Diceros bicornis minor: one gene and its partners. The protein of the gene in region 2 purifies or fractionates together with the protein of the main gene of each other region. This does not show direct contact. Links are inferred from orthologs where the notes say so. Each region holds a gene or a part of one and is shown on either strand. Other genes may lie near its edges. The genes, in order: FLNA, CTTN, ACTR2 and ASAP1.

The links.
Region 1: the proteins of CTTN (region 2) and FLNA purify together in Homo sapiens (affinity purification with mass spectrometry; 3 studies listed by BioGRID and IntAct, with this or other methods). This does not show direct contact. The link is inferred for Diceros bicornis minor from reciprocal best matches to the Homo sapiens genes CTTN and FLNA.
Region 3: the proteins of CTTN (region 2) and ACTR2 purify together in Homo sapiens (affinity purification with mass spectrometry; 3 studies listed by BioGRID and IntAct, with this or other methods). This does not show direct contact. The link is inferred for Diceros bicornis minor from reciprocal best matches to the Homo sapiens genes CTTN and ACTR2.
Region 4: the proteins of CTTN (region 2) and ASAP1 purify together in Homo sapiens (affinity purification with western blotting; 6 studies listed by BioGRID and IntAct, with this or other methods). This does not show direct contact. The link is inferred for Diceros bicornis minor from reciprocal best matches to the Homo sapiens genes CTTN and ASAP1.

The regions. Positions count from the first base shown.
Region 1 is NC_080781.1:138,288,985-138,296,514, reverse strand, and holds the start of FLNA (filamin-A), read right to left. Parts: upstream 3,004-7,530; 5' UTR 2,910-3,003; coding exon 2,537-2,909; intron 1-2,536. UniProt on the Homo sapiens protein: Promotes orthogonal branching of actin filaments and links actin filaments to membrane glycoproteins. Anchors various transmembrane proteins to the actin cytoskeleton and serves as a scaffold for a wide range of cytoplasmic signaling proteins.
Region 2 is NC_080770.1:3,893,401-3,900,456, forward strand, and holds the start of CTTN (src substrate cortactin), read right to left. Parts: upstream 3,013-7,056; 5' UTR 2,943-3,012; intron 1-2,942.
Region 3 is NC_080751.1:22,559,983-22,567,312, forward strand, and holds the start of ACTR2 (actin-related protein 2), read right to left. Parts: upstream 3,022-7,330; 5' UTR 2,946-3,021; coding exon 2,898-2,945; intron 1-2,897. UniProt on the Homo sapiens protein: ATP-binding component of the Arp2/3 complex, a multiprotein complex that mediates actin polymerization upon stimulation by nucleation-promoting factor (NPF).
Region 4 is NC_080760.1:44,858,885-44,866,032, reverse strand, and holds the start of ASAP1 (arf-GAP with SH3 domain, ANK repeat and PH domain-containing protein 1), read left to right. Parts: upstream 1-4,143; 5' UTR 4,144-4,395; intron 4,396-7,148. UniProt on the Homo sapiens protein: Possesses phosphatidylinositol 4,5-bisphosphate-dependent GTPase-activating protein activity for ARF1 (ADP ribosylation factor 1) and ARF5 and a lesser activity towards ARF6.

The DNA of each region.
Region 1 (7,530 bases), on a different chromosome or scaffold from region 2:
GGCAGCCATGAGGCAGAGGAAGCGGAGGCGTTGGGCAAGGACCCTTTGGGTGGAGGGTGTGAGCCCCACCCCCCACTTCCTTAGTGCTCTCCCACGCCCCGCAGAGCCAAGCTGGGAGTCCAGCAGCAGGCCTGGCACAATGGAGGGGCCGGGAGCCCAAAGGAACCAGTAGTTGAGCTGCATGGCCCTGACTCACTGGGGACCAGCAGGGATGGCCTGCCAGCCAGGATGACAGGCAGGACACATTTCAGGGGGCTCTCTCACCCAGCCTGAGGAAGAGGAGTGCAGAGCCAGTGAGCCTGGGTTGGATGCCCAGGCCCCAGCTTGGGAACTAGGGTGGCAGAGGCCATGGGTGGGGTCCCCGAGTCCTGCTGCCTCAGCAGAGCCTGCCCAGCCACTGCCCGCCCTCCTCACCACCTAACGGGCCACTGGGCCTCACTCAGGCAGGCAGCCACCAAGCTCACCACAGGGGAAGTGGTTAGGGCGGACACTCTGCACCCTGTTACCATGGCAACCCCTCCGGCTCTGGGCCCCGCCCAAGGCCCTTCTGGGTTTCAGCCTCCTCAAGAGATGGGGGGCTGGAGGTGAGGCTCTGAGAACGGGTGGGCTTGTCTTTGGAATCCCTGCTAGTGTCCGTGGCCCCCCCCACCATAATCAAGAGAAAACACTTGTCTAGTGAGTCAACTTGGGGTTGAGAAGAGAATGGATGCCACCAAAAGAGCCATCAATGGCAGGTGGCCTCCGAATCTAACAGGCAGCATGTTGAGAACCAGCTGAGCCACTCAAAGCAGCGTGGACTCCCTGTTCCCAGGCTGGGGTTGGTCCCAGTTCTGCATCTCTGCCTTGCAGAAGTCCCCATATGGCGGGCTGGAGGATAAAGATGCGGCTTCAGGGTAGGGGTGACTGGATGGTTCAGAGAAGACCAAGGGCACAGGACCATCCTCGGCTTCCCAACAGGCCCCCACCCCCAGAGTCCTGGGTCCAGCATAAGAGCCCTCAGGAGGCCTGAGGCCCGCCTGCTGCTGTGACCCCTGAGGGAACACACTAGATCAAGCTCATCAGCCCTGGTGGGTCTGTCTGGGCCCTCCCCCTGGTCCATAGGAGGCCAGCCTAGGCCCTCCCCATCCCTCTCACAAAAAAGGGAGGGAAGGACCGGGGCCCAGGGTTGGGAGACTGCCTAGTTGGATGGCCCCGCCCCATCCCACCCCCTTTCCCCAGCCCCTGGGCCAGCCTGCCCCCTCCCTCCCCTAATCACTGCTGCTTTCCAACATTTTTTTGCCTTATATGGCAAAGCTCTGGGAACTAGGCCTGCTCCAGCCAGCTCACAAGAGGAGGAGAAGAAGGGAGGAGGGAGGAGAAGACCCCCCCCCAGACAGCTGGGGTGTGGCCTGCCTCCCCACATCCGGTTGCCCCCCCACCCAAGGCTCAGAGATGACTCAGCTTGGCTAGACTGAAGCTGGAACTGGGGGGTGGGCCTCAGCCTCGAATGGCATTCCAAAGAAAGACGTGGGTCCCTTGAGACCTGCCCTCTGAGTCGTTGGGGGCACCTGATTTTTGGTCCCTCACTTTCTCAGGCTCAGCATGGACCGTGCCAGGGCCATATGGACAACTGGAAGGCTTCTTTCAATTCTGAAGAAAACTCATGCCCCTTCTTCTCTCCCTGTTGCACATTCCCCCGAAGGCACCAGTTCTGGTGCCTGTGCCTGAGGGGCCCTCATCTTGAGAAGAGCCTGGGATGCTACAGTAGGCCCGGCCAATGAAGCCTCACCAACCCAGTGAGCCCAGCGCACGCTGGAGTACCTCCCAACCAATTCCTGCATTCTAGATGCACAAAAGTGGGAGCAAGAGTCTGGTCTAAGATCAGCAGTAACTTGGTGTCTAAGCATGCTACAAGCTGACACCCAGACTCATCTCTGGTGCCGTTTTGCTAGCTATGGTCCCCTCCGGTCCCCTAAGCTCCCTGGGGAAAATCTAAACTGGGGGTTGGAGCCATCTCCAGTGGGGGGCCCATCTTCCAGGGCCAGAAAAAGCCAAGAGTCCTAGACAATGGGACCCACGATCTCCAACCGGTTTAGGAACCACAGGGGCGCCAGAAGGCCCTCTCCAAATTGCTGTAGGGGGTGGAGAGCCCAGGCCTCCCCCTCCTCAGGGATGGGGCGCTGGGCGCAGGGCCAGAGCCTGGCCAGTGCCCGTCCGTCCCCCACCACGGCCCCTCCCCCGTAAGCCCCCGCCCCAGGCCCTCTCCCACCGCAGGCTCAGCGGCGGGGGCGTGGTCTGCGGAGGATGTGAGCTCAGCCTGGGCGTGGGCCAGCCGGGGTGGGGCGGGTGGGGGCGCGTAGCGGTTCGCACTGCCGGGCCGGCCTGCCTGCGCGCCTTTGTTCTCGAGGCCCGCGCGAAGCCAGGTGGCCCGCGGGCCCCTGGGACAGTGCTGTGGCTTAGGGGGGTGGCTGGGAGGGGTCGGCCAAGGGAAGATGGGAGGACACGCGGAGCCCCCACCCTCGCCCTCCCAGCGCCACAGGGCGGCCCGTGCCCTCACCGATGGACACAAGCTTGATGCTCTCACGATCCAGGAATTCAAGCGCCACCGACACGTTTTCGAGCTGCATCTGGCGGAACGTGGGCCTCTGGTTGTGCTTGCGGTGCATCTTCTTCTGGCTGAGCACCTCGAGCAGCGCGATGAGCCGCAGCCCGTCGCTCAGGTCCGTCTGCAGGTTGGCGATGCGTTTGCTCACGCACTTGAGGTGCTCATTGCACCAGCGCGTGAACGTGTTCTGCTGGATCTTCTTCCAAGGCGCGTCCTCCGCCAGGTCCTTCTCTGTGGCCGGCATCTCGGCGTCTCGCGTGTCAGCGCCACTGCTCGGAGCCGCGCCTGCTGCGCTCTGGCCCGCCCGGGAGTGGGAGCTACTCATTTTGAGGCGCGAGGAGCCGAGGGGCGGTGCTGCAGCCTAGGCAAGGGGACGGCCCTTTAATTAAAGTCGCAGGCACTTCAGCGCGCACGGGGCGATGCAGACAGCGGAGGTTGTGCTGTGGAGAGAGTGAGCCCTTTAAATGCGGGCGTGGGGCGGAGCTAGGGGTGTGGCTGCAGTGAGGCGGGGCCGCAGGGTTGGGCTTCGGGGGCCGCACCCGCCCCACCCCGCCCGTTGGAATGCCCCTCTTAGCCCCCTGCGCCCCAGCTGTTTTCACCCGATCCCCACCCCCAGCTCTGGGGAGGGTCGTTTGGACCGGAAGGGGGCAAGGACACACCCAAACCCCACGGTCTCACACTAGCACTGCAGGAAACACTGCAGCGAGGAAGGGCTGCCAGAGCGAGGCAAGGCTGAGCAGTGTCTGGCGCTGGACCACTTGGCTTCCAGCGGGCACGCCATACAAGAGACTTTCCCTCCCCAAGGCCCCTGCAGGGGGTGGGGTGGCTCACCCTCCCTGAGTCACGTGGGCTTCGCCCCGTCCCAGCAGCCCCCGCCACTCCCCTGCCACTCCGCCCTCACCCCCGGCCCGTTCCCAGGCTCCAGCGCCTGGGGTTTCCCGGCCGCGCCCCGGGAGCAGCGGGAAAGGGCCAGATTCTAAGAGCGAGTCCTTGGACAGCGCGGTCCCGGGCCAGGCGCCCCTGCGAGCGCTTTGCGCGCGTGCGCCACGCCAGGGAGGCGGCTGCCGGCGGGGCCCGGACCCTAAGCCGCCCCCCAAACCTCCTGCCGCAGGCCGGCCGGTGGCTCTGCACGGCCCTGGCCTGCGCACCTGCGCCCGCGGGTCCCCATCGCCTCCCTCCGTCCCTCCACGCTCCACCGGGAGGAAATGGGGCAGTGGCCCAGGAGGCCGCCAAGCACTCCAGGAGCAAACAGCCTTGGAAGGGGCCGGACGTGCCAATAGGCACTGGCACGGGGCGCCGTGTGATGCGTGCAGAGACAGCGAGTGTCCGCCTGACCCACCATGACGTCGACCTGGGGCACTGGGGGTTTCCTCTCCTGTCAGAATGGCCCCTGAGCCCAGTGTGACCCAGGAGGCGGCCAGGCAGGGTCAGGAGGGCCCTTCCAGACCCACAGGGACCTGCTCGGGGGTTCCAACAAGCTTTCGCAGTCTCTCAGCACCTGGGTCTGGGTGGGCTTCAGGGTCGTGGTAGTGCACAGGGGACCCTGAGGACTGAGGGGGGGACCATGGAAGGCTGCCAAGGCCTGCTGAGGAGCCTGGACTGTGTTCCTAGGGCAATGGGGAGCTATTTGCTCAAAATTAATTTTCTGGTAGATAACTCGGGAGACAGAGGCCAGCAAAAGCACAGGGGCACAAGGCCTATTGGGGACACTCACTGCCACCCTCTTCAGTCAAAAGAAGTCATCCTACCCATGGCTTCATCCCCAGAGTGGACTCACTCCTCCCAGTCCTGTATACCTCTCCTCTCCAGAATGTTCACTTCTTTACATTTTTTTTCCAGAAAGGCATGTCTCTGTCCCTTCTGCTTGATTCTTAGATTGAGCTGCAGACTAGTAGTCATTAAGTTATCTGCTAAAGACCAGTGGGAAAGGAGGCCCTGGGGCAGCAGTATGTCATGCCCAAAGATGGCTGACTTGCCTAGCCCTGGGTGACTGCATGACCCGTGGTAGGGCTGTGGAGCCAGGCAGCATCTGCTCTGCCCTCCAGCATGCTCACTTCGGGGCTGCCTGTCATCCCACTGGTTTTTCCTTACCAATGGTGGGTAAGGGGGGGTCCAAAGTCATTTCCCAGTCTGAGGCCCACCTCCTGCGCACTCTCCCCTCTCCTGACCCCTTTCAGACACACCTGTAGAAAACTCCACACCACAGGGGCTGGGAATTGGGGTGGAGGTAGGAGGGAGGGCTGCAGGCCCCATTCAAGATGGGCTGAGAGTTGTCCTTCTGGCCCCTGCCCCACTGGAAAGCAATTCCCAAGGACAGAATTACACCTAGAATTGATTTTCTCTCCACTAAGTGCCATCCAACTGGGTCATCTGTGTTCATTCCTTAATATCTTCAGAGAGCAGGGAAACTGAGTCAGAGTAACTGACCAGTAGTTAACTCTAGCAGACTGGAGGACAGAAGCTGGGTGTTCTGGCTTCCAGCCCTAGGCTTTCCCTATTTGGGGGATGACAAAGGCTGGGGGTGTAGAGGGTTCCTGTCCCTAGGGGATATAGTATCACCACCAGATGGCGCCCCATCCCAAAGCCCCCAGATCAGCAGTCCTTGGAAGCCAAAATCCAGCTCTTTCATATTTTCCCTTATTTGGAGTAGATTCTTGGATGTTAGACACACCCCGCCCCCACCCCCCACCCCCAGCCCTAAAACACCAGGCCAGGTCCTCCCACGGCGGGGCGTGGGGTGGGGGCTTCAGCTGGCGAGGAAATCTACAGAATGGCACAGTGAGAAGAGACCTGGACTGGCAAGGCAAGTCCAGGTACAGCAGGTGAGAGCACTCACTGCCTGAGCTCCCACCTTGACCGGGCAGCCTGGAGCACATGCAGGTGGGCCTGCCAGCGGACTTCACCTACTTTTCCTGGACCTGGGGGGCATGGGAATCTAGGACGTTGCTGCTCACATCCTGGCTAGTGGGGAACATCCAGCTCAGCGCCAACCTGGTACAGGGCCCACGGCCCAGGGCCCAGCCCGAGAATCTGGCCTGTCCGAGGAGCCCCTGCTTCCTGTGCCTGGCTGCACCCTTGCCCTGGTCCCCATGGAGCACAGCAGCCCCAGAACCAACTCCCCTGTGCCTAAGGCAGCTGGTGCCATGAAGACTGGTGCAAGTGAGGAACCCACTGTCACCCTCCCAGGGGGCACACTGGCTGCGAAGTGTTCTTCCAGGTGGCCACTCATCCTCAGCCCACACAATGTCTTGCCCTCTGGGCCCTTCTTTCCCAGTCTTGCAGTGACCAGCTCCTGGGCACCCACGCGAGCCCATATCCTGCCAAACGCTCAGATATCCTCTCTCAGGAACCCCCATGGCCTTGGGCTCCCACACTCCTGGGCACAGACACAGATTCGCGGGTAAACTAGGAAAGGCAGCCCCTGGGCACTGCACTCACAGGGGCCGCGGGCGCCTCCACTGCGCTTACCACCCCAGCTGCACCTGGCCTGGGCCTGGGTGCGCGCCGGCGCCTGCGTTCTCGGGGCCTCTCCGCCTGCCTTCGCCACCCCCGTCCCCGGTCCCCGAGCAGCGCGGAGACAGTCCCGCGCGGAGCCCGGCCGCGGAGGCCTCACCTGCTGTCTCTGCGGGCGGCCGGCGACCGCGCGGTGGCGCCTGGCTTGCCTTTGCGCCCGCGCCCGCGCCCGGCGCCTCGGGGCTCCGCTGGCGTCCGCTGCGCGCCGCGCGCCTCCACGCGAATGGGCTGCCGCCGCCCGCCTTCTTGTTGGCCGCACCCCCGCCCCGCGCCCGCCCCGCGCACGGCCCGGCCCGGCCCGGCCCGGCGAGAAAGCCTTAATTGGTAAAATCGCCCAGGAGCCGGGGGGCGGGGGCGCGCCGTGAGCTCCAGCGCCCGGACCGCCTGGCGACGCCGCCCCCCCCTCACCCCCGGATGACCTCACCTCCCAGCGAGGGCCGCGAGGGGTGGGGTGGGGTCGCCTCAAGAGCTCGCGGGGTCTGCAGGGCCCACGTCTCAGCCCAGCCAGAAAAGCCACCTCCTCCAGGGAGCCGCCCACAGTCACGGCCTTCTGACTTTGCCCCAAACTTGGGCTGGCCAGGCAAGTTGGATTCTGCCCTCTGGGGTTGGGGCACAACAGGCCATTGCAGGTGTTCACTGAGTGCCTACCACCCACAAGACCACAGTGGGGCAGGGACCCGGACCCCGGGATGAGCAAGTATCCCCGCTGCTGCTGATTTGGTCCCTGCTGGGTGCCAAGCCTGGCCTGGGAGCGGGCAGCAGAGACGTACTGAACTCTCAGGAGCACAATTAGGTGCAGTCCCAAAGTCTGGGAGCGTGCAGTGGGTTGCAGCCAAAGAGCCAAGTGTTCGTGAACTGGGTGGGCACAGCCACGCCCTGGCACTGCCAGGCTCCCTCTTCCTCTTCTATGTGCCCATTTCCTGGTAGCTTCAGATGTAGCTCAATTGTCACTTCCTTGGGGAAGGCCACATAAAGCAGTGTCACTTTAACATTTTGCCCACAAGCCCCAATAAGAACTACATTTGACATCCTGAGCCCAGCTGTGCAAGCACACATACACAGATTGACAGAAATAACTGAGACAAACGATCCAGAAAAGGAGACTTTCTCTCACTACCCAAAAAGCACTTGGTATTTTCTATTCTACTCTACTTCATTAGAAGAGAGAAAGAAAAGAAGGGAGGGAGGCAGGAAGAAATTTGGTTACACCTGCTAAATGCATTTGGCCATCTACAGTTGAACACTGACAGGAAGGCGCTGATTGCCCTCCAGGCCTCCCTGCAGCCACTGCTGCCTTTGTTAGCTCTGCTTGCAATGACCTTTCCACCTTGACTCACAGTGGGATCTCCTAGCAGTGCCAGGGGCTCCATGTCCCTCCCTGCTCCCTCTGGTGGGAACCCCCCCCCACTGCTGGGGTGAGCAGTGGGTTATGG
Region 2 (7,056 bases):
GGAATATTATTCAGCAATAAAAAGGAGTGAGGTCCTGACACACGCTACAACATGGATGACTCTTGAAAACATCATGCTCAGTGAAAGAAGCCAGACACAAAAGACCGTATATTATACAGTCTCATTTATAGGAAATGTCCACAACTGGCAAATCTAGAGACAAAAGTAGATCAGAAGGGGCCAGCCCGGTGGCGTAGCGGTTAAGTGCAAGCGCTCCACTTTGGCAGCCCAGGGTTCGCAGGTTCGGATCCCAGGCGCGCACTGATGCACCGCTTGTCAAGCCATGCTGCGGCGGCATCCCATGTAAAATAGAGGAAGATGAGCACAGATGTTAGCTCAGGGCCAATCTTCCTCACACACACACACAAAAAAAAGATCAGTGGCTGCCTAGTGTTGGGGGGAGGGGGTAACAGTGTTTCTTATGAGATGATGAAATTAATCTAAAACTGATTGTGGTGAAGGTTGCTCACTAAATGGTTGGAAATTCTAAAATCTAGGGAATTGTATCCTTTAAATGGGTGAACTGTATGGTACGTGAATCATATCTCAATAAAGTTGTTACCAAAAGATACTGTTCAAAAAAAAGATAAGGTAGGGCTGGCCCCGTGGCTTGGCGGTTGGGTGCGCGAGCTCTGCTGCTGGCAGCCCGGGTTCGGATCCCGGGTACGCACCAACGCACCACTTCTCCAGCCATGCTGAGGCCGCATCCTACATACAGCAACTAGAAGGATGTGCAGCTATGACATAGAACTATCTACTGGGGCTTTGGGGGAAAAAAAAAAAAGAGGAGGATTGGCAATAGATGTTAGCTCAGAGCCGGTCTTCCTCAGCAAAAAGAGGAGGATTGGCATGGATGTTAGCTCAGGGCTGATCTTCCTCACAAAAAAAAAAAAAGATAACGCCTCTATCCAGCACCACTAATAGTAAACCTTCGTTGCAAATGTCACACGTACCAATCAACTCACAAGTGTGAGGTCATCTTGCACTGCCGTAAAAACAGAGTGAAAAACTCCTCCATAGGAGAGTGTTTGAAATGATAAAACCCCCCATGCAGAACTAGCTTTCCATTCCCCTCTCTCTGCAGTGGAGCAGAAAACCAGGGAGAACACAAAGCCATCTGAGGCCCACTCCCTACACCACGATTACTCAGAGGAAACCCCGCCCACCCCTGTCTGGGCACACTCACTCAGTTTACTAAAAGCACTTGCTTGCACACTGACAAAAGGGAAGGACCAGAGCTCTGATAGGACCCTGAGCCAGCTCCCGGCTGCCCCAGGACACTGGCAGACTGCATGAGGCAGTACCCGGCACTCACAATGACTCACTCACTCAACCATGCCCCTTCTGAGCACCTACTGCACAGCACCGACCAAAGGTCTGAATCACCAATTACGTTCACTTAAAAGTGTTTTAAGAATAAGTCCAACAAAATGCTTCCACTACAAGTCATCTAGGGGGTGGGGGTAACTTCCAGTTACTGGTGAACAGAGTATCAAAAAGGACTCTGCACCCCCTTGGCTCCTTCTTCTAGAGTGTCTCAAAGTCGCCTTTAGGATGCTTCTTCGCTCCTTGAGGATCTGGGAGCACTTTTCCAACCAGGGAAGAGAGAGACAGGATGGCCTCCATGCAGTGGGGCAGGGACTCCTCCCCCCGCGGCCAGACACAGGGAGCAGGGCCCACCGCCAGCGCCCTTCCCAGCCCTCGGCCAGCCGGGGGCCAGGCTGAAATCACGCGATCAGGACCTGGGGGATTAACCGGACACAGCACCGTGGGGCCAGTCGACCCTGAGCTCAGGCGAGCATCACGGGGAGGGAGCGCTCACTGGGGCCGCCGCCAGAGCTGCGTTCAGCGGAAGATGGACTCCTCCCCAACAGGCCCGACACGTCCACACAGCGGCGGAGGAAGCCCTGCACTCTCCCCACCCGAGACCTCCAGCGGGGATCAAGCTCCCGCTGCAATATTCAGGCGATCCAAATCAAAGAAACAGAGAACCCAGAAGCACCTTTCTGGTGATTTCCAAAACACCGAGAGGAGGGGCTGCTCCAAATAGAGAGCCTCTCAGCCGCCTGCAGCTGCGCGTGTCGCTGCATTTCCATTGACCCGATTGCAAAACCTGCCGGGAGGTGCGGGCCAGGTGCGGGCGCAGGAGCCGGGCTACAAGGCCCCGCCCGGGCGCCAGGGACAGCCCCTCTCCTACCTCGACCCCTCGTACTCCTAGACTCTCCCCCTCGGCCCTGCACCCTCTTCCCCTAAACCCCCGATGCCGACCCCCTCCCCGCAGGGCCCCTCTCCTACCTCAACCCCAGCGCACCCCCAACCCCTCCCCCTCGGCCCTGCATCCCCCTCCCCTAAGGCCCTGGGCCCCGACCTCCTTCCCCTAGATCCCTGACCTCCTCCCCCCAAGGCACCTGGCCCCCCTCTGATCCTCGGCCCTCCACCTCCTTCCCCTAACCCCCCGATCCCGACCCCCTCCCCGCAGGGCCCCTCTCCTACTTCGCCCCCATCCGACCCTCGGCCCTCCGCCGTCTTCCCCTAGTCCCCTGGGTCCCGGGCAGCCCCCTGAGACTCCAGACCCTCTCCCCGTCTGCTCCCCTCCTCTCCCTCCTGCCCGCAGCCCCGGCCCCTCCCGCTGGAACCCCTGACCCCTCAGACCTGCCCCCTCCTCCCCGCCCCCCGCAGGCCCCAGCCCCGCCGCCTCAGCCCCGGCCCGCACCTCCCGGCCCCCCTAACCTCGGCCCCCGGCCCTCCCCCCCCGGCCCTCCCCGCGGCCCCCGCCCCCCCCGCCCGGGGAACCCTCCCCCGCGCCCGCCCCGAAACCGCGAGCGGAAGAGCGGCTAGACCGCCGCGGCCGCCGCTTCCTTCCCGTTTCGGGGCCCGGGGGCGCCCCGGGAGCGAGCGGGGGGGCCGGCCCTGCCCGCCCGGCGGAAGCCGCGCTCGCTCACCGCCGCCTGGGTCGGTCCGGGCCGCCTCAGCTCTGCCCCACCGCGCCCGCCGCTTCCAGGCGCCCGGCTCCACTTCCGGTTCCGCGGGCGGGGGCGGGGCCGCATCCGGGTCCCGCCGAGGCCCCGCCCCCCCCCGGCACGCCCCGCCCCGCCCCGTCAGCGGCCGCGGGAGCTCCGGGAGAGCGCGCGGTGGGAGCGGCGTCGAGCCCGGGCTGCCTGAATCCCCGCCCCCTGCCGCCTCCCTCGCCCACGTGCACGGGCAGCGCCCACTGCCCACCGCCAGCGCAGGCGCGAGCTCTGCCGGGGAGCGAGCCTGCAAAGCCCGCCTAGACAGAACGCATTCGCATATACATACACAGATGGACGGAGCGCCCACCGTGTGCGGGCGACAGTGTGCCGAGATGCAGACGATCCGAGGTGGTACTCCAGGATTCATAGCGCGGCCCGGGGTGAGAAAGGAAAGTGAGCCAGGCCTGTGGCCAGTGCCAGGCGCTTGAGCCATGAGGACTAGGAGAGGTGACTGTGACGGCCAGTCAACTGGACGGACGAGCGTCTTCATCATCCACCCGTCCATCCCTCCATCTATCACCCACACGTCTATCCATCCTTCCATTCTCCGTCCATCCATCCGTCATCCATCACCCACACATCTATCCATCCATCCATCATCATCCATCCATCATCCATCACCCACACATCCATAAATCCATCCACCATCCATCTTCTCCACCCAGCCTCCATTCATCCATCCATCCATCCACCCACCCATCATCTATTCATTCATCCAGCAACCATCCATCCTTCCATCATACATACATACATACATCACCCACACATCTATCCATCCATCCATTCTCCATCCACCCATCACCTATCCCTCTATCCATCACCCACGCATACGTACATCCATCCATCATCCATTCATCCACCCAAACATCCATCCATCCATCCATTCATCATCCATCCATCCTTCCATCCAGAGAATGCCAGATATGCATCAGAGATAGAAGGTCATGGGGGGCAGCGCAGTGGCGTAGTGGTTAAATTCACACGCTCTGCTTCATCAGCCCAGGGTTCGCAAGTTCAGATCCTGGGTGCAGAGCTACCCACCACTCATCAAGCCATGCTGTGGTGGCATCCCACATACAGAATAGAGGAAGATTGGCACATATGTTAGCTCAGCAACAATCTTCCTCAAGCAAAAAGAGGAAGATTGGCAACAGATGTTAACTCAGGGCCAATCTTCCTTACCAAAAAAAAGGAAAAAGAAAGAAAGAAAGAAAGAAAGTCAGCAGAATAAACATGGACATTGCCTTCAGGGACCTTGCAGCCTAGAAGGAGAATCAGGCATTAATCACAGAGATATATAATTAGGAAACAAGATAAATGCTATGAAGAAGTCAAAGGTGTCATGAAATTAGATTGAGGAAAAGGTGGGACCTGAACTCATCCAGGAGATCAAAAAAGGTTTCTTTGAGCAATTAACATTTGTGCCAAGATATGAAGGCCAAATACAAGTAAACAAGATAAGGAGGGAAGAATTTTCCAGGTGAGAAAACAGCACGTGCAAAGACCCTGAGATGGGAAAGGTCTCGCCACAGAGGAACTAAGGGATGTTCAGTGTAGCAGAAGTGTGGTGATGAAGCAGGGCAGTGTGGTGGCGTGGGGCCAGGTCATGTAGAGCTTGGCAGGGCACAGCGGGGACCTTGGTCTTTATTCTAAAAGAAATGGGAAGTCCTTGGAGGAAGTTAAGTGGAGGAGAGACATCATGAAGTCTGAATTGTAATGAAATCCCTCTAACTCCTGTGGAGAATGGATGGGAAGAGGGCCAGGGAGGACCTTAGTCCAGCCAATTCAGGCAAACTGGTGGTAGCAGGTAAGATGGAGAGAAGCGAGTAGATACAAGAGACATTTAGAAAGTTAAACTGTCAGGTTTGAGGATGGATTGGGGGTGTGGGGTGGGGAAGGAAATGTCAGGTGTCAAAGGATAATATTTTTAAAAAAGAAAAAATCATGATTTTCATACACGCATAAATGAACACATGTCAAAGATTTTATTTCACTTAATAATGAATGAAGCAATAAGGTGTTACAACTTATTAAGAGGAGAAGTCAAAGAAATGCTGAAACGAATTTGCAAAAACTGGTCTATGCATAGGGCAATAGTCAATTGTGTGTCACTGGACACAGCTAATTTGTGTCTCTATGGACAAGAATTATTAGCATTGCTCTCTGTTTTCTACAAGTTTACTTCTACGTCCGCAGCGGTATGAAATAGTCTAGGCAAAAACAAAGGCACACGTCCCATAGAATGAGATGATTCTCAGAGGCTCCAGCGTTCTGTTGAAAGAATATCCAGTAATCAGTTTCGTCCATTCTAAAGTCTGAAATTTTTCATTACAAAAAGATGACTCCGAGCATCTAAGTAGATGCTGAGATGTGGAAAATGGGCAGAGGTCGGGGAGAGACGCACCAAGATGGAGGGAGGAGAAGAAGAATACGGTTTTGGACTTGGAACATTTAGGGGCCTGTGGCACATCAAGGTGAGGTCCGAGAAGTGATGCTGGAGAGGTGGCTTTTGAGCTGGGGCTTTCAGAGTAAGCAGGATGAAGACATAAAAGGTAGGAAGGTGTCCCAGGAAGAGGGAGAAATTCGAGCAAGGGCACAGAGGGAGGAGAGGAGGGGAACATCGAGGTCGGACACATGGAAGTGTTTTCACGTCTGTCATTACTGCACACAGTGCAGCGCAGTGTGCAGTCAAGTATCAAGCTGGTTGCTGGCTGGACTCAGGGAAGGCTCCCTTTGGTGGCATCTTCCATAGAGGACTTGATTCATCTGAGGACAGGAACAAACGTTGTGCACAGAGGCTCTGGAGGCTGAGGACCTGACTACATATCCCAGCTCCACCATCTACCAGCTGTGTGGCAGTGGACAGTCACTCTGCCTTTCCCAGCCTCGGTCTCCCCATCTGTCAGCTAGCACCTGCACCCCAGAGCTGTAACATGAGGACTGCATGCTGTTTGATGAGCCCAGGGCCTGGCACGCAGGAAGTGCCCAATAAGTGTTGGCCCTTAGTTGGCGGTAACAGGAAGAGAAAGCCCGTGAGGCAGGCAGGCCGGGTAAGGTATGTGCATTTCAGTTAAGCAGAGATGCGGGAGATCAGAGAGGCTGGGTGCCCTACCTCGCCCACACAGCAAGTGGGCGAGACCCCAGTCCTGACCCACACCTGTGGTCTGGGGGAAATGATTCAGAGCATCCTCTTTCACTGGGAAAACTGCAGGTACCTCAGTTGTGCCCCACGTTTCCCCACCTTTCCTTCTCTGACCGCCAGTCCAACTTGCAGAGGCGGGCTCACCCTAGGCTCCAGGGAGCATCCCACGATCCAGGCCTCAGCCAATCAGCACACTGCACTCCTCTAACGCTGATTGGCTCCAGAGAAGGCACGTGGTTCAACCAGGTCCAGTGAGACTTTGCTGAGGCTTCTGGGTGACCCGGAAGTTCCATTCTTTCCGGGAAGTGAGGCCCAGATGAGGGCAGGAGGGAGGCTCAGCCAAGGGCATCGTCTTCCTTGGTGAGGGGAGAGCCCTCAGGAGCAGAGGAGCCGGGACCAGGCGGTGCCTGCTGATCCCCAAGACCAGGTCCTCCTTACCCCCTTCGCTTCTACGAGCCGGCACGTTCCCTGGCCGCCCCTTGCCATGGTCCTAACCAGGAGTCCTAACGGAATACAAAGGGGCCAGTGCGAGAGGCCAGGACGATGAGAGGGGACATCTCTGGGAGGCGCAGGTGACCCAGTTCCTGCACCCGACATACCTGTAGGGCTGTGTGCATTTCCAGTGGCCGCTGTACCAAACTACCATGGTCTAGGATTCAGAACAACCGAAATTTATTCTCTCACAGTCTGGGGGCCAGAAGTCTGAAATCAAGGAGTCGGTAGACCTGCGTCTCTTCTGGACCCTCTGGGGGAGAAAGGTTTCCTGTCTCTTCCAGCTTCTGATGGCTGCCAGCAGTCCTTGGCTTGCGGCTGCATCATCCAGTCGCTGCCTCTGGCTGCACATGGCCTTCTCTTCTCCTCTGTGTGTCTGTCCCAAACTCCCACTGCCTCTCTCTCCAGGGA
Region 3 (7,330 bases), on a different chromosome or scaffold from region 2:
CACCAGGGGCCTGGGCTCAACTCTTGAAAAGCACCTAAACCTAAGGAGACCTTCAGATTTTCATCTATCTGGCCACTTTCAGTGGCTATTTTACGGAGTAGGTTTGAACAATTACGAAGATGAAGCACATAAATTACTGGAATAGGATGACTTTCCCTCCTGTAGGCTGCTCTAACGAGACACTGCTCTAGTTGGGGGCTAGTGAGAAGAGAAGCAGGATCAACATCTGGCATGTGATCATAAGATCTCACCTACTCTTAGAGCATTCGACTTAGGGCCTGCCAGAGGAGTTTAAAAAATCATCAACTTCTCAAACTGCCTGTAATTTTAAGACCTAAAATGTGTAAGAGACAAGTTGCTTTAGGGCAACAACTAATCCCACAAGTTTTTAGAAATTAAATTTGAATATCTTCTTTAATATTTCATTGTAAAGGAATCACTATACCTTCAGGTAACTAAATAAAATCAGGATGACTATGAAGTATAAGCAGTAAGAAATAGAATATAGACTCTAAATGGTTCCTAATCCTCTAAATTTTCAGAAATATCACAGCATCCTGATTACGTATTATATCAGAGCTCTTTCTTCATTTGAAGTCGATCGTGTCTATAGAAAATCTGGATAAAATTTAAAGACAACTAGAAATGTAACACCAAATACATTTTTGTTTGAATTAACTACATTTTTTCTATTTATGTCATAGTAACTGATCCCTTGTCTTAAGGAACAAGATTCTTAAATTATGGATTAGACATGAGACTAACCAATAATACACAATCAGCTTTCAACACAGCTAAAATAATAAAATAGTAACATAAAAATGAGCTCATGGTTAACAGTCCTATTCTAAGTGAATATTGAAAAGCTCATTATACTACAAATACAGGGTTCATTACCATTCAAAAAAGAAGAATCCAATAAAATATAGCTGGCTCAGATTTCTAAAGAGAATACCTGACAAAACAAAATATTAGCAAAATAAAATATTTTAAATTCAATTTTTAAAGCTTTAAATTTATTTAGAAGTCAATTTGGAACTTAAATTCTTTAAAAAGCACCTTTAACTGAGTTTTAACTGTAAAAGTAATACACATTTATAGTTTCTTTAGTTTAAAGATAGCTTAATACATGTTTTGCTAAAAAACAAAACAAAGAACATTTTTCCAATAATTCGGAAGTCATGAAGTCCTTCCTATCTTCCCTCACTTCCTATTCCTAGTCTCACAGGTAACCATATGAACATTCCTTACGCATCCCTCCAAAACTTTCATATACAGATACAAGTTTGCATACATATAAATATCTTTTAATACAGAAAACACACATAAATAGGCTCATTCTAAAATTTTTTTTAAGTTAAGACATGTTTCCATAGCAGTGAATCTGCCTTTTTTAAGTATTCTATTTTGTATGGATGTCCCATTATAACACTCTTCTTACTCTTGTTCATTTTTAACTTAGTTCAGAAAGCTAGTATAATTATTGCTTGTAAAAATCTCTAATAAATTCAATCAAGGGAAGTATTATGGTAGTGAATATTAGCTTTTTTTTCCCCCTCAACAATCCAGTTTCCGAAGTGTTTTAAAGTTCAAGTAAAATCTATTTTAATTCATATGTCACATTTATGGAAGGCAGGGGAGAAAAGTCACACAATATGCAACTCCAAAACGGTTCGACATTACTGTAATGAAGGGGAAATGATCACTACAGAACTCATCCAAAATAAATAACATTTCCGTCTTTTAATCTGCTGACTTTGCTGCCCAAAATACATTTTTTTTTTTTTTGTGAGGAGATCAGCCCTGAGCTAACATCCGCCAATCCTCCTCCTTTTTTTTTTTTTTTTTTTTTGCTGAGGAAGACGGCCCTGGGCTAACATCGGTGCCCATCTTCCTCCACTTTATATGGGACGCCGCCACAGCATGGCCCACCAAGCAGTGCGTCGGTGCGCGCCCGTGATCCGAACCAGCGAACCCCGGGCCGCCGCAGCGGAGCGCGCGCACTTAACCGCTTGCGCCACCGGGCCGGCCCCTCAAAATACATTTTTTAAAGGGGGTGGGCGTTTGAGATAACTTTCAAATAATTTCTAAAAAAGTGTTTTACTCAGATTTTTACAATTATTTGCATTTTAGAATCTTAGTGCACCTAAGGAAAAAAAGGAAGGGGGGAGACCAAAACTGATTACCTTCCCCCAAGGTCAGTGGAATTAACCCTTCGGCCTTGCGGGGTCCTAGATCTCCCAAGATCATTCAATGGAACATGCTGGTCTCTGCGGGGCTGCCCCTGGGCCAAATTCCCAGCGCGCAGAACAAAAAGTAAATGATGTGCTGCTATCTAGCCTCCCCTTCTCTCAAAAAAAAAAAAACCACACACAACATAACCCTCTAACACTGCGAAAGGGCTGAGGCTCATTGCATGACAGCACTTCCCTTTTTTTCTTTAAACTCGTTTCCTGCCTCTCGTTCGCTACCTTCAACTATACAGGAAGAAGAAGGCCTCTAGGTCTTTCTCCGTTTCACACACCAGCGACCGTGGGGAACAGAGCCCTTCTCGAACACACAAACCCAGCCTTTTACCCCTCCGGCCCTTTAGCCAAATTGTCCCCGCTGGAGCGCGGAGCCGACCCTGCCGGGCAGCAGGTGACATGCCCACCCAGCGCCGGCCTCGCCCGCCGCCCTGACCCAGAAGGCGGCCGGGGTGGGAGGCTCCGGGAGACCTGAGCCGGACCGGGCCCGCCAACTCCCCACGCCCGTGGGGGCAGGCAGCGCTGGCCCGCGCCCCTTCATCCCGCCGGCCCGAGGGCCCAGGGGTGCAGCCCCGGACGCCGAGGGCCCGCGCGCCCCCCGCACATCCCCGCCGGGCCTGTGGCCGCCGCGGCTCCCCGCCGGGCGCTTACCCCAGTGCCGTTGTCGCACACCACCACCTTCCTGCCCTGGCTGTCCATCGTCCGCCCGGAAGAGAGCCGCCACCACCGCCGAACAACCTACAGCCGCCGCCGCCGCCCGGCCCTTTCCTCTTCCTCTTCCTCCGCGCTCGCGGCCCCTCCCTCGTCCCAACTTTCTCCCCCCAACCGGAAGTCTCCTCCGCCCCCCCCCCCGCCATTTGACTGACGGCCTATGCGGAAGATGTGGGGACAGGTGGGAGGAGGCCGAGACTGGCAGCGGTGAGCTCCTATAAGAAACGGAGAAGCGCCAAGGCCCCGCCCACAGCTCCATTCCGGCTCCAGCCCCACAGTCACCGACGCCGCCCACCCGGGATTCTTCCTCTCAGCGTTTTGTTCCCCGGGCTTCGCCGGGCGTTGATGGCAGTCAACCTGGAGGGTGTTGCGACTTTCTCCCTCAGGCGTGTCTGGAATTGAGGGCGCCTCTCATCCTGCTGCAGAAGGCGCAGGCAGGTGAAGGACACCGGGTCTGTGGCGAGATGGCAATGGAATGTGGCGGAAAAGCCAGCCGTGTGGGGAAGCAAACCTGGAGGTGCTTGCCCATCCCACGGTTGAACATGGCTTGGTGTGCTCTTGCTTTCTAGGCCTTTTCAGTGGACAGAGCCTTAATGGATACACCCACACACACATATTTGAAATCATGCATTTATACCGATACCTCCAATTCCAGCCCAACTCTTCTTTGCCCAAATTGTCTTTAGTCAAGTGAATGAGAGTGGGTGCCTACATTTCCAGCCTTATAACTCACCACTTTCCTCTTCCAGCAGCACCGTGTGGCTTCACACCTCTTAAGTATATGTACCCATTTGAACCTAGAGCCTCGGCTTTGAAATAGACAACCCCAGTTTCAAATCTGGCCCTGCTACTCAAGAGTTTTGTTGATTTGGGCATATCCTTGTCTGTGCATGGGTGTAATAACCTCTACTTCCGTGGGTGGTTGTGAGGATAAAATTCTGTGCATAGAGTAAGCATCCATTCACTGGTAGCTATTTATTATTAATTCCATATTTTTAAATGTGCAGTTCCATCTGTGATGCCCCTACCTTTTTTCTTTTTAATCAATTGGGAGACTTCGACTGGTGCTCTAAGACCCAGTTGTCACTCTCTGAAGACTTTGCTGATAACCCTCAAGATGCTCTTTACTCTCTTCCTTTGTTATTACTTTACAATGGATATATGAATAACATTATTGTGCTTGTTAAACTCAACAAATATTTATGGATGAATGACATTAAAATTCATCTAGAAAAAAATGCCATCCTTTTCGAGAGGTGAGAACTAGAATTGTGCCTTCCACATGGCTGTACATGTACAATGACTAGAATAAAACTTGGATTATGAACCCCCCATTCAGTATTATAATACTAGGCTGCCTCTCCGTTTTCACTTAGTTCTTGTATTAGACCAGTGGTTTTCAAACCTTTATAAAGGCATAGAATGCTTTATTCAAATTTAATCTTATATGGAACCCCAACATATAAAATAGATCAAAGTAAAGCTGCCATAGTGGTAGTTGGAAGTTTGAGAGGTTAGGATGGGAAGGAAGCCTCAGGGAACTATGTCTTCCCCAACCCTGCTTCAATAGTCGTCGAGGTTCTTCAGAAGCCTGCTGAACTGTGTATTAGTTCATAAATTATATATCTTATTTTTGTGACCCCAGTGCCTAGCACTGTGCAGTTTTCCTGGAAGCACATTTAATTGGTCTCAGCAAATTGAACGCAAGCATTTCTATGTCCTTTTACTTTTCCTCTTTATGAAATTAAATGGATTACTGATTTTTACTTTTTTTTTTTTTTTTTGTGAGGAAGATCAGCCCTGAGCTAACATCCATGCTAATCCTCCTCTTTTTGCTGAGGAAGACCGGCCCTGAGCTAACATCTATTGCCAATCCTCCTCCTTTTTTTCCCCCTTTTTCCCACCAAAGCCCCAATAGATAGTTGTATGTCATAGTCGCACATCCTTCTAGTTGCTGTACGTGGGACGCCGCCTCAGCATGGCCGGACAAGCAGTGCGTTGGTGCGCGCCCAGGATCCGAACCCGGGCCACCAGCAGTGGAGCAGGCTCACCTAACCACTAAGCCACGGGGCCGGACCCTGATTTTTACTTTTTAAGAATAACATTTGTTGTTTTCTTCTGATTGTAAAAACAATACATGCAGATGATAGAAAATAGCAAACATCTATTCACTACACAAATGAAAATGTAGCAAAACTCCTTGATTATGCAAATTCAGATATAATACTATTGGTGAATGGTTCCTGCCATTTACACCAGGTGAATCCTGGCATTTTACTTTCCTCAAAATACTGTGCCCACCCCCCCACCCCACCCCCGATTTTACGTAATTGAATTTTTCAGGAGGGGGGCTTCATTTCTAGCCTTCAGTTGAGAGTTTACGTACGTTATTCCACACAAAAATCTTGCCAGATAGATATCCCCATTTTACACATGAGAAATGGGGGATTTAACAAAAATTAAGTCTAGCAAAGTCATAGGATATAAGATCTACATACAGATATCAGTGTATTTATATATGCTATCAGTGAACAATCTCAAAATGAAATTAGGAAAACAATTCCATTCACAAGAGCATCATAAAAATCTGAATAAATTTAATGAAAGTAATGTAAGACCTATACACTGAAAACTATAAAACATTGTTGAGAGAAACCAAAGATCTAGATAAATAAACATACCATATTCAAGGATTGAACACTTACTGTTAAGATGATAGTTCTCTCCAAATTTATCTATACATTCAATGTAGTCTCTATCAAAACTCCAGCAGGCTTTCTTCTTTTTAGAAATTGACAAGTTTGATCCTAAAATGTATATGGAAATGCAAAGGAACCAGAATAGCCAAACAATTTTGAAAAAGAAAAGCAAAGGTGGTGGGCTTCTATTATCTGATTTCAAAACATATTATAAAGCTACAGTAATGAAGACAGTGTGGCATTGGCATAAGGATAGACATATAGATCAACGGAACAGAATAGATAGACCAGAAATAAACCCTTACATTTATGGTCAATTGATTTTCAACAAATATGCTAAAACAATTCAATAGGGAAAGGGTAATGTTTTTAACAAATAGTGCTGGGACAATTAAATATCCATGCATGGTGGGAGAGAAGAACTTTGATCCTTACCTCGCACCATACATAAAAATTAATTCAAATGGATCATAGACCTAAATATAAAAGAGCTAAAACTTTATAAATTCTGGAAGAAAACAGGAGAAAAACCTTTTGATGTTATGGTAAGCAAAGATTGCTTAGTTATGACACCAAAATCATGATCCATAAAAAAAAAAATCAATAAATTGGACTTAATAGAAATTTAAAACTTTTTTTTTTTTTTTTTTTGTGAGGAGATCAGCCCTGAGCTAACATCCGCCAATCCTCCTCTTTTTTTGCTGAGGAAGACGGCCCTGGGCTAACATCTGTGCCTATCTTCCTCCACTTTATATGGGACGCCGCCACAGCATGGCTTACCAAGCAGTGCGTCGGTGCGCACCCGGGATCCGAACCAGCGAACCCCGGGCCGCCGCAGCGGAGCGCGCGCACTTAACCGCTTGCGCCACCGGGCCGGCCCCTTAAAACTTTTAATTTAGGTATTAAGAAAACAAAAAGACAAGCACAGACTAGGAGAAAATATTTGCAAATCATATATCCAACAAAGGACTTGTATCCAGAATAAGAACACATAATAATAATGAGACAAATTACCTAATTTAAAAGTGGGCAAAGGGCCAGCCCCGTGGCTTAGCAGTTAAGTGCGCACACTCCGCTACCGGTGGCCCTGGGTTCGGATCCCGGGCGCACACCAAGCACCGCTTGTCCGGCCATGCTGAGGCCGTGTCCCACATACAGCAACTAGAAGGATGTACAACTATGACATACAACTATCTACTGGGGCTTTGGGGGAAAAAAAAAAAGGAGGAGGATTGGCAATAGATGTTAGCTCAGAGCTGGTCTTCCTCAGCAAAAAGAGGAGGATTAGCACGGATGTTAGCTCAGGGCTGATCTTCCTCACAAAAAAATAAAAAATAAATAAATAAAACTGTTTGGAAAAAAAAACTTTAAAAAATAAATAAATAAAAATAAAAGTGGGCAAAATATTTGAATAGACAAACCAAAGTAGGTTTTTTTTTTTCATAAGAAGATTAGCCCCGAGCTAACATCGGATGCCAACCCTCCTCCTTTTGCTGAAGAAGATTAGCCCTGGGCTAATATCCATGCCCATCTTCCTCTACTTTATATGAGATGCCATCACAGCATGGCTTGACAAGTGGTGCATTGGTCAGCGCCCAGGATCCAAACCTGTGAAGCCCGGGCCACCGAAGCGGAGCGCACAAACTTAACTGCTATGCCACTGGGCCGGCCCTC
Region 4 (7,148 bases), on a different chromosome or scaffold from region 2:
ATCAGTGACCCCCTTCCTCTTCCACCTCTCCCACTCTACTGGGACCTTCCCATCAACCACAGAGGCTCACTAGCCCACCATCTCTAAAGAATCCTCTACTCTTAGCGCCCACTACCTAGACTGTCATGGTTCTGAAAAGGGTTGTCTACACTCACTGTCTCCTACTCACTCCTCAGCCCACTGCAACCTGGCTTCCAATCCCTCCTGTCCATTGAGAAGCTCTAGCAAAAGTTATCAGCCTTCTATTGTCTACTGTCAAGTAAAATGGGCACTGGCTTTCCAATCCTTATTTGACTGAATTTTCTAGGGCATTTGAGAGTGTTGGCCATTCCTTCCTTCTAGAAGCAACTTCTTCCCTTGACCTCTGGTTTTCCTTCCACTTCCCTCCTCTGACCATGCTCTCTCAGCCTTCTTTGTGGGCAGCTCTCCTCTGCCGTTACAGCGTCCCTCTAGATTCAATCTTGATCCCAGTATCTGCCCACCCTACACACCCCTCAAGGGTGAATTCATCTGCAGCCTGCACCTAAAGCTTTAACCACCAGGAAAGGCAGTATGGGGTGGTGGTTAAGACCTGGACTCCAAAACTCCTCTATACACTAAGTGTTTGGCCTTGGGCAAGTTACTCAACACTCCTGCCTCAGTTTTCTCAACTGTAAAATAGTGCAAAGCTTTTTAGTCTTATTGCTTTCCATGTCTGAACACGTACCATTTCCTCAGATCATCTGGAACCTTGTACCCAAATATGTTATGTGCTCATGCTCAGTCTTTGCTCAGACACATAGGGAGTGCCCTGTCAGTACCTGTGAATAAATGAATGAATGCTGTCCTGGATTGAGTTTCCCCAGAAACAAATCTTGAGACAAGGAATTGGGTGCAGCTAGTTTGTCTGAGAGGGGATTGATCCCAGGAAGAACAAATGACGGAGTGATGAAGTGAGACAGGGAAGCGAGGAAAAGCATAAAGAGGGAGTTAATGAGAGTTACTGCTGGGGGCGACCGGACTCCCTTCCTCTGGGCACCTCTGAGGAAATGTGTTGAAAGCACGGTAGGACTGTTGCCCCTTAGGGATGGGAGGCTTGACACTTGTCCACTGATTGGTTAGGGAGTGCTCCAGGGCTGTTGGACACTTCCAGTCTGGGCAAGACCCCACAGCCCTGCAGAAAGGCTCCAGGCAGAGAGGGGGAGAGGTGTGCACTTCAGGTAGACAGTGCCTTGGATGGATGGCGTTAAATTACAGCTGCAGGTGAGCTCAGAGGTGGGCCCAGGGGACACAGAGCTTTTGCTCTGGCTGGCAGGTGTGGACCTCCTCATCTACCTGGATAAGCCCCACCTCTTCCTTGAAACTTAGTTCCAGAGCACTCACTTCTTGGAAGTAGTTTCTAATCTCCTGCTATAGATTGAATGTTTGTGTCCCCCTCAGATTCAGAGGTTGAGATCCTAACCCCCAATGTGATGGAGTTAGGAGGTGGGGCCTTTGGGAGGTGATCAGGTCATGAGGGTAGAGCCCTCATGATTGGGGTTAGTGCCCTTATAAAAGATACCCCGGAGAGCTCCCTCACCCTTGCCCCTTTCCCCATGTGAGGACACAGCAAGAAGACAGCTGTCTGTGAACTAGGAAGTGAGCTCTCACCAGACACCACATCTGTTTGCACCTATCTTGGACTTCCCAGCCTCCAGAACTGTGAGATGCAAATTTGCGTTGCTTATAAGTCACCCCATCAATGGTATGCTGTTATAACAGCCTGAACTAAGACACCCCTCATGCTGATTGAGAAACCCTCACCCAAGCTCTATGGAGCCCATGACACCCTGGACATACTTCTCTAAGAGTAATCATCTGTCTGTTTTCTAAACAGAACTTTCTTGCTGGACTTTCTTGGAGAGCAAGAACTGTTCATCTTTGCAGATCTGGTGCTTAGAAGATTTTTGAGCACATTATAGGCACGTAACCAGTACCTTTTAATGAATTCGAATTCACCTCGCTCAGGGCCCCGCCCAGAGTAAGCGGTCCATACCGCAGGCTCCTTTTCTTTCCCTCCAACTCAGAGTGTGCCATCTGACTTAGGCGAGCACTCATCGAGCGAGCATACAATGTGATAAATACGTTCTTTAATGAACAGAAGAGCTGGGGGAGCCCAAAGGAGGGAGCAGTTAACTGGGACTGTACCAATGAGACTGCAGTTACGTCGTCTGACAGTCTTAATTACTTATAGCTTTAACTTTCCAGAACCATTAATAGGGCGTCTGGCGCTTCTTCCGTTACACTGGGCTTTCCCATTGGACCGCCTCTCCGCCAAAGCGGAAGAGACAGGGGACACAGGCACAGAGTGAACCTGCAATTGCAGTCTGGGTTGCTCCTTTCCTCCATTTGATGTATCTTTATTGAAGGTCTCCTCGGGGCCAGTGCTGTTCTTGGCACTGGGACACGGGAGGGATGGGGACAAGCAGCAGGTGACCCATGCAGGGGGAGACAGATGATAAATAAGCAACCAAATAAACAAGGTAAGTGACGTGGGCTATGAAGCAATGAAACGGAATGTGACATGCGGGAGAGGTGGGGGTGGGAGTATAGGTGCCAAGGACAAATAGATCAATGGTTGGGGAAAGTCCCCTTTGAGAAGCTGACTTCTGAGCTGTGAGCTGAGTGCCAAGAGCAGCCAAGTGGAGATTATTCCAGACAGAGGGAACAGCAGCTGCAAAGGGCCTGGGGCAGGACCCTGGACTCCGGGTGCCAAGCCTGGAGCTTGTCCCACTGCTTCTGACCGCTGAAAAAGAGTTGCAGAAAAGAGGCAAACCTGGGTCTAAAAATGATATCTGGTTCTTACTTAGAGGAGAGGAGCTGATACCCAACTTTCAGTTCCTAGCAGGTTCATTTCAAGCTTCGGTTTCCACTCACGGGCATGCTGTTCCCGCTTCAAAGTCTGATTGGGTTTCAAAGGAATTTGAAACACTTACAGAAAGCCACCAAGCTACATCCTCCAGGTAGAAAACCCCAGTGCGGCATTTCCATGGGAAACCACAATGAATTACTCCCGCTGGCCGCCTAGTCCAGGCTGGACTGGACAGAGATTTAGTTTGGTTTTTTCAAACTTTGTAAAGCCTCTCCAAACTTTTTCACAAAGCCCCACAGTGTCCTGACTCTTCGGTTAAGAACAAAATCCCAAATTCCGTGAGGTTTGTTGAGTTTCAGATTTCACCAGAAGGGGGTCTGCCATAGCCACTAACCTTTTCCTCTGCAGAAAGCAGTTTCCGAAATGCTGCAAAGAAAAATAATCACTCGGTGATTAGAAGGGAAATGAAGTTCTAAGGCGTTGTAAGTAGACACAATACTATGCACAGCACACACCCCACGGGTTAAAACTCTCCTTTCTCTAATGTCTCCTATGATAATAAGGACAATCATGGCTATCATTTATTTGAGCACTACAATGTGTCAGTCTCTGTCTAAACATTTGGTTTCCAAATAAAACCTACGAGGGCAGTATACCGCCTCAGAGGCTCAGAGAAGTTAAGTGACTTACTTAAGGTAACACAGCTACAAAAAAGGCCAAGTCCAGATTCTAACCTAGATCAGAGTCCAACGTCCATACTATCACTTTCCATACTATTACTATAGCATCCTGACCTAGAAATTTCCTGACCCCTAGCACTGGGAAAAATGAGGAAATTAGCCGAGCGGAAGCAGTGAAAGGGGGCAGCCAGGTAAAGTCATTTCTTTTATTGAAAATAGGGGAAACGGCCAGGAGATTGTAAGTCCATCCTCTGCAGGATGGGAGACAGGCCAAGGCCCTTCCCTGCTGTCGGGGGCCTTAGACAGGCACCGCCCAAGGCCAAGGATTTATCTGGACAAATCCTACCCTTCCACCTCTGGACAAGGAGGAGGCAGGCCGGGGGAGTGTGGGGCCCACGGTGGGGGCCGCCCGAGCCCCGCCGGAGTCCGTGTGCCCCCCGCCCGGTGCCGGAGACCCCGCGCGCCCCGCCCGGGCGCCGGCGGGCCAAGGGTTAAGCGAGGCGGGAGCCCCCCGGCGCGCAGCGGCCGCGGGCCGGGAATGCTTAGTCAGGATCCCGATTTCCTGTCGAAGTGTTTGGATTTCCTGAAACCCGCGCCCTCCGCCGCCGCGCGGGATCGTCCGAGCCGCTCGCGTCGCCGCGGCCTCCTCCCCTCGGCACATGGTCGCCCGCCCCTTCCTGCGCCGCGCTCGCCTCCCGCGCCTCGCCGCCGCCGCCGCCGCCGCGGGGGGCCCTCTGCGCTCGGGCAGCCCCGGCCCGCGCCTCCCGCCGCCCGCTGCTCCGGCCGCCCGCTCCCTGCCGAGAGCCGCGATCGCCCGGCCGAGGGGCCCGGGGAGCCGGCGCCCAGCCCGCGATGGAATAATGCCCAGCGGCCCGCCCGGTCCCGGTGAGTTGCGGGGCGCCCGGACGGGCTCGGCGGGGTCGCCCTGGGTAGTCGGCGCCCCCTGCCCGGCCCCCGCGCGGGGAGGCGCCGGGCGGGCTCCCGGCCCCATCCCCGGCGGGGGTCCCTGTGCGCGGGGAGGGCGCCGGGCGGGCTCCGGGCCCCGTTCCCGGCGGGGGTCCCTGTGCGCGGGGAGGGCCCCGGGCGGGCTCCCGGCTCCATCTCCGGCGGGGGTGCCTCTGCGCGGGGAGGGCCCCGGGCGGGCTCCCGGCCCCATTCCCGGTGGGGGTCCCTGTGCGCGGGGAGGGCGCCGGACGGGCTCCGGGCACCGGGCACCATCCCCGGTGGGGGTCCCTGTGCGCGGAGAGGGCGCCGGCCCCTGGCTCCGCAGGGCCAGGCGAAGCCTCCCGGGGGGTCTGCTTTGCCGAGGCGCCGAGGTGGCGCGGGTGGGGCCCCGCGTGGCTCCCCGGGAGAGGGGCCGGGACAGCGCGCCTGGTGGCCGCGGCCCCGCCGATGGGGCGCCCTCCCGGCGCGGAGGCGCGGGCGCTGGCCGCGGCATTGTCTCTCTGGCGCGGCGGCGGCAAGTTCCCCGCCGTTCCTGGAAGAGCCGGCCCGGCCCCCGGCCCCCGGCCCCGGCTGGGACGCGGCGCTGCCAGGCAGGCCCCAGGCCACCGGGAGGGGAAAAAAAGATTCCCACTCGGGGCTTAGTGTTTGTCCACGGCAAGACTGGGAAGTGGCGTGTGTTTTTCCGCTTGTACCATTTGGGGACCTGCTGCATTTTCTGAGAGCGACATGAAGTTTAAAAGAAAAAAAAAAAAAACTCGCTGGCGTCTGGTATTCTGCGGTTTCATACATCCCGAGAGTTCTTCTCGGGCATTCCTAAAGCGGTTTCCTTGAGTAATTTGTTTTTCCACTAGCGCAGGGGGACGGATAGCCAACTTCAGACCATTGCCAGCGTGATCTCGGCTTTACCTGCGCTAATCGGAAAGAACTAGAACTTTCTCCCACTTTTTCCCGTAGACTCGGTCAGGTTGTCTGGCGTAATTGATTCTGGGAGCATGGATTGCTGAGTAATGTTTTGGGATTGTAAAACATAATTCGGTGTTGAGGCCAGTTTTATGTCTGTTGCAACCTTCTCTCCAAGCCCTTTCCGTTTTTCAGTTGGAGGTCCACTGTATTGCAAGAAGATGCAGGTCTTCTGGAAGCATCAAATCTCAACAGTTTAGAAGGAAAAAGGATCTTTGGGAACCACTGTTTCTGCCCCTTCTTGTTACACAGATGAGGCTGGGGGATGTGACATGACTTACTCAAGGTCCTGTGGCCAGTCTTCAGACTCCCCAGTCCAGTGCTCCTTTCACTGTGTCAGTTTATGGTCTGTGGGCCATGAAAGGTTTGGAAAGTGTCTTCTTTGCATTATAACCTTTATTGTTTTAGTGTCTTCTGTGCTTCTCTTGTTCTGTTTTATCTATTCTTGCTGTTGTTTTTGAGATATGCAGTTATCTTAAACTGCCTATTTTGAGATATAGAGTTTAAAAAAAAAATTCCCTAACCCCTACTGTTCAGCCACTAAATGGATTTGGAGATTCAGCCACCAAATGGATTTGAAATATAAAATGGGTAGCTTATTATATAGGGAATTACTTTTCTCTATCCCATTCTTTTGTGAAAAATAGAAACTTCCAAGTCCAAAAAAGGGCAATATCTTAGCACATAATATATGGTATGAGGTTTCTTAGACTTAATTTTCAGACCTCCTGTATCTGGTGAGCTAAGTATCCCATCTATTTTCCTCCTTATTCTGATAGCTGGTTTTTCATTTTTAGTATGTGATAATGTTGGAGAGGAAAGACTTTTTCGCAAGCTTGCCATTTGGTGAAGGAAACTGAAATTCTCTCCACCTACCCAGTCCTCACCAGCCACAGTGAGCCAGATTTTCAAAATCATTCAGAGACTTGCAGGCCCAAAAATGAATGTGTGCATTCAAATGGGATCCTCCCTCGCCCCTCGGGAGGACCCACCACCCAGCTGGCTTCTCCATGCTGCACCCAGCTGGCTGAAGTCTAGAGGGGAACCTGGAACAGTGTTGTTCCTCCATTTTCCCTCCAGGTTCTCAGTTGTGTTTGACTGTATCTTGCTGCCTCATTCTCATTTTTCCATCCTGTGTTTCTTCCTCTCACTTCTGTCCCAGCCGCTATATCTGGCATGGACTCGAGAAGAAGTCTTTTCTATGGGATGCATGACTGATCCCCGCATAAGCAATAGTGACAATGACAGCTAGCATTTATTGAGCACTTGCTGTATGCCCTAGACATGATACTTCCTAAGAAGTCCCAAAGAGGAGAGGGAACTTTTCTGGGAGCCCTGCCCAGAAAGGACAGAGCTTTTCAGATTCACCTGGAGTTGAATCATTCTTTTATGTATCCAGTACACATGTGCTAAGTGGCTCCCCTGTGGGAGGTGCCAGTCCTACAAAGATGAACAGGACCCTGGGTTCAAGGCCTTTTATTTCCAGCCTCATCTTTCAGTGTCAACCTCACACGTTCTCTTCTAATTAGTCAATTCAGCCAGCCTACTTCGAACCCCTGCTCCTTGCTAAGCACTGTGTGAATGATACAGTGATGGACAAGATAGGCCTGGCCTGCCCTCATGGAGCCTGCATTCCAGTGGGGGAGCTAGACAAAAACAAGGAAGCAGGTAACTTCCAACAAATGCAAGATTGTGATTCTTGTTATCAAGGAAACACACAAGGGATTGCAATC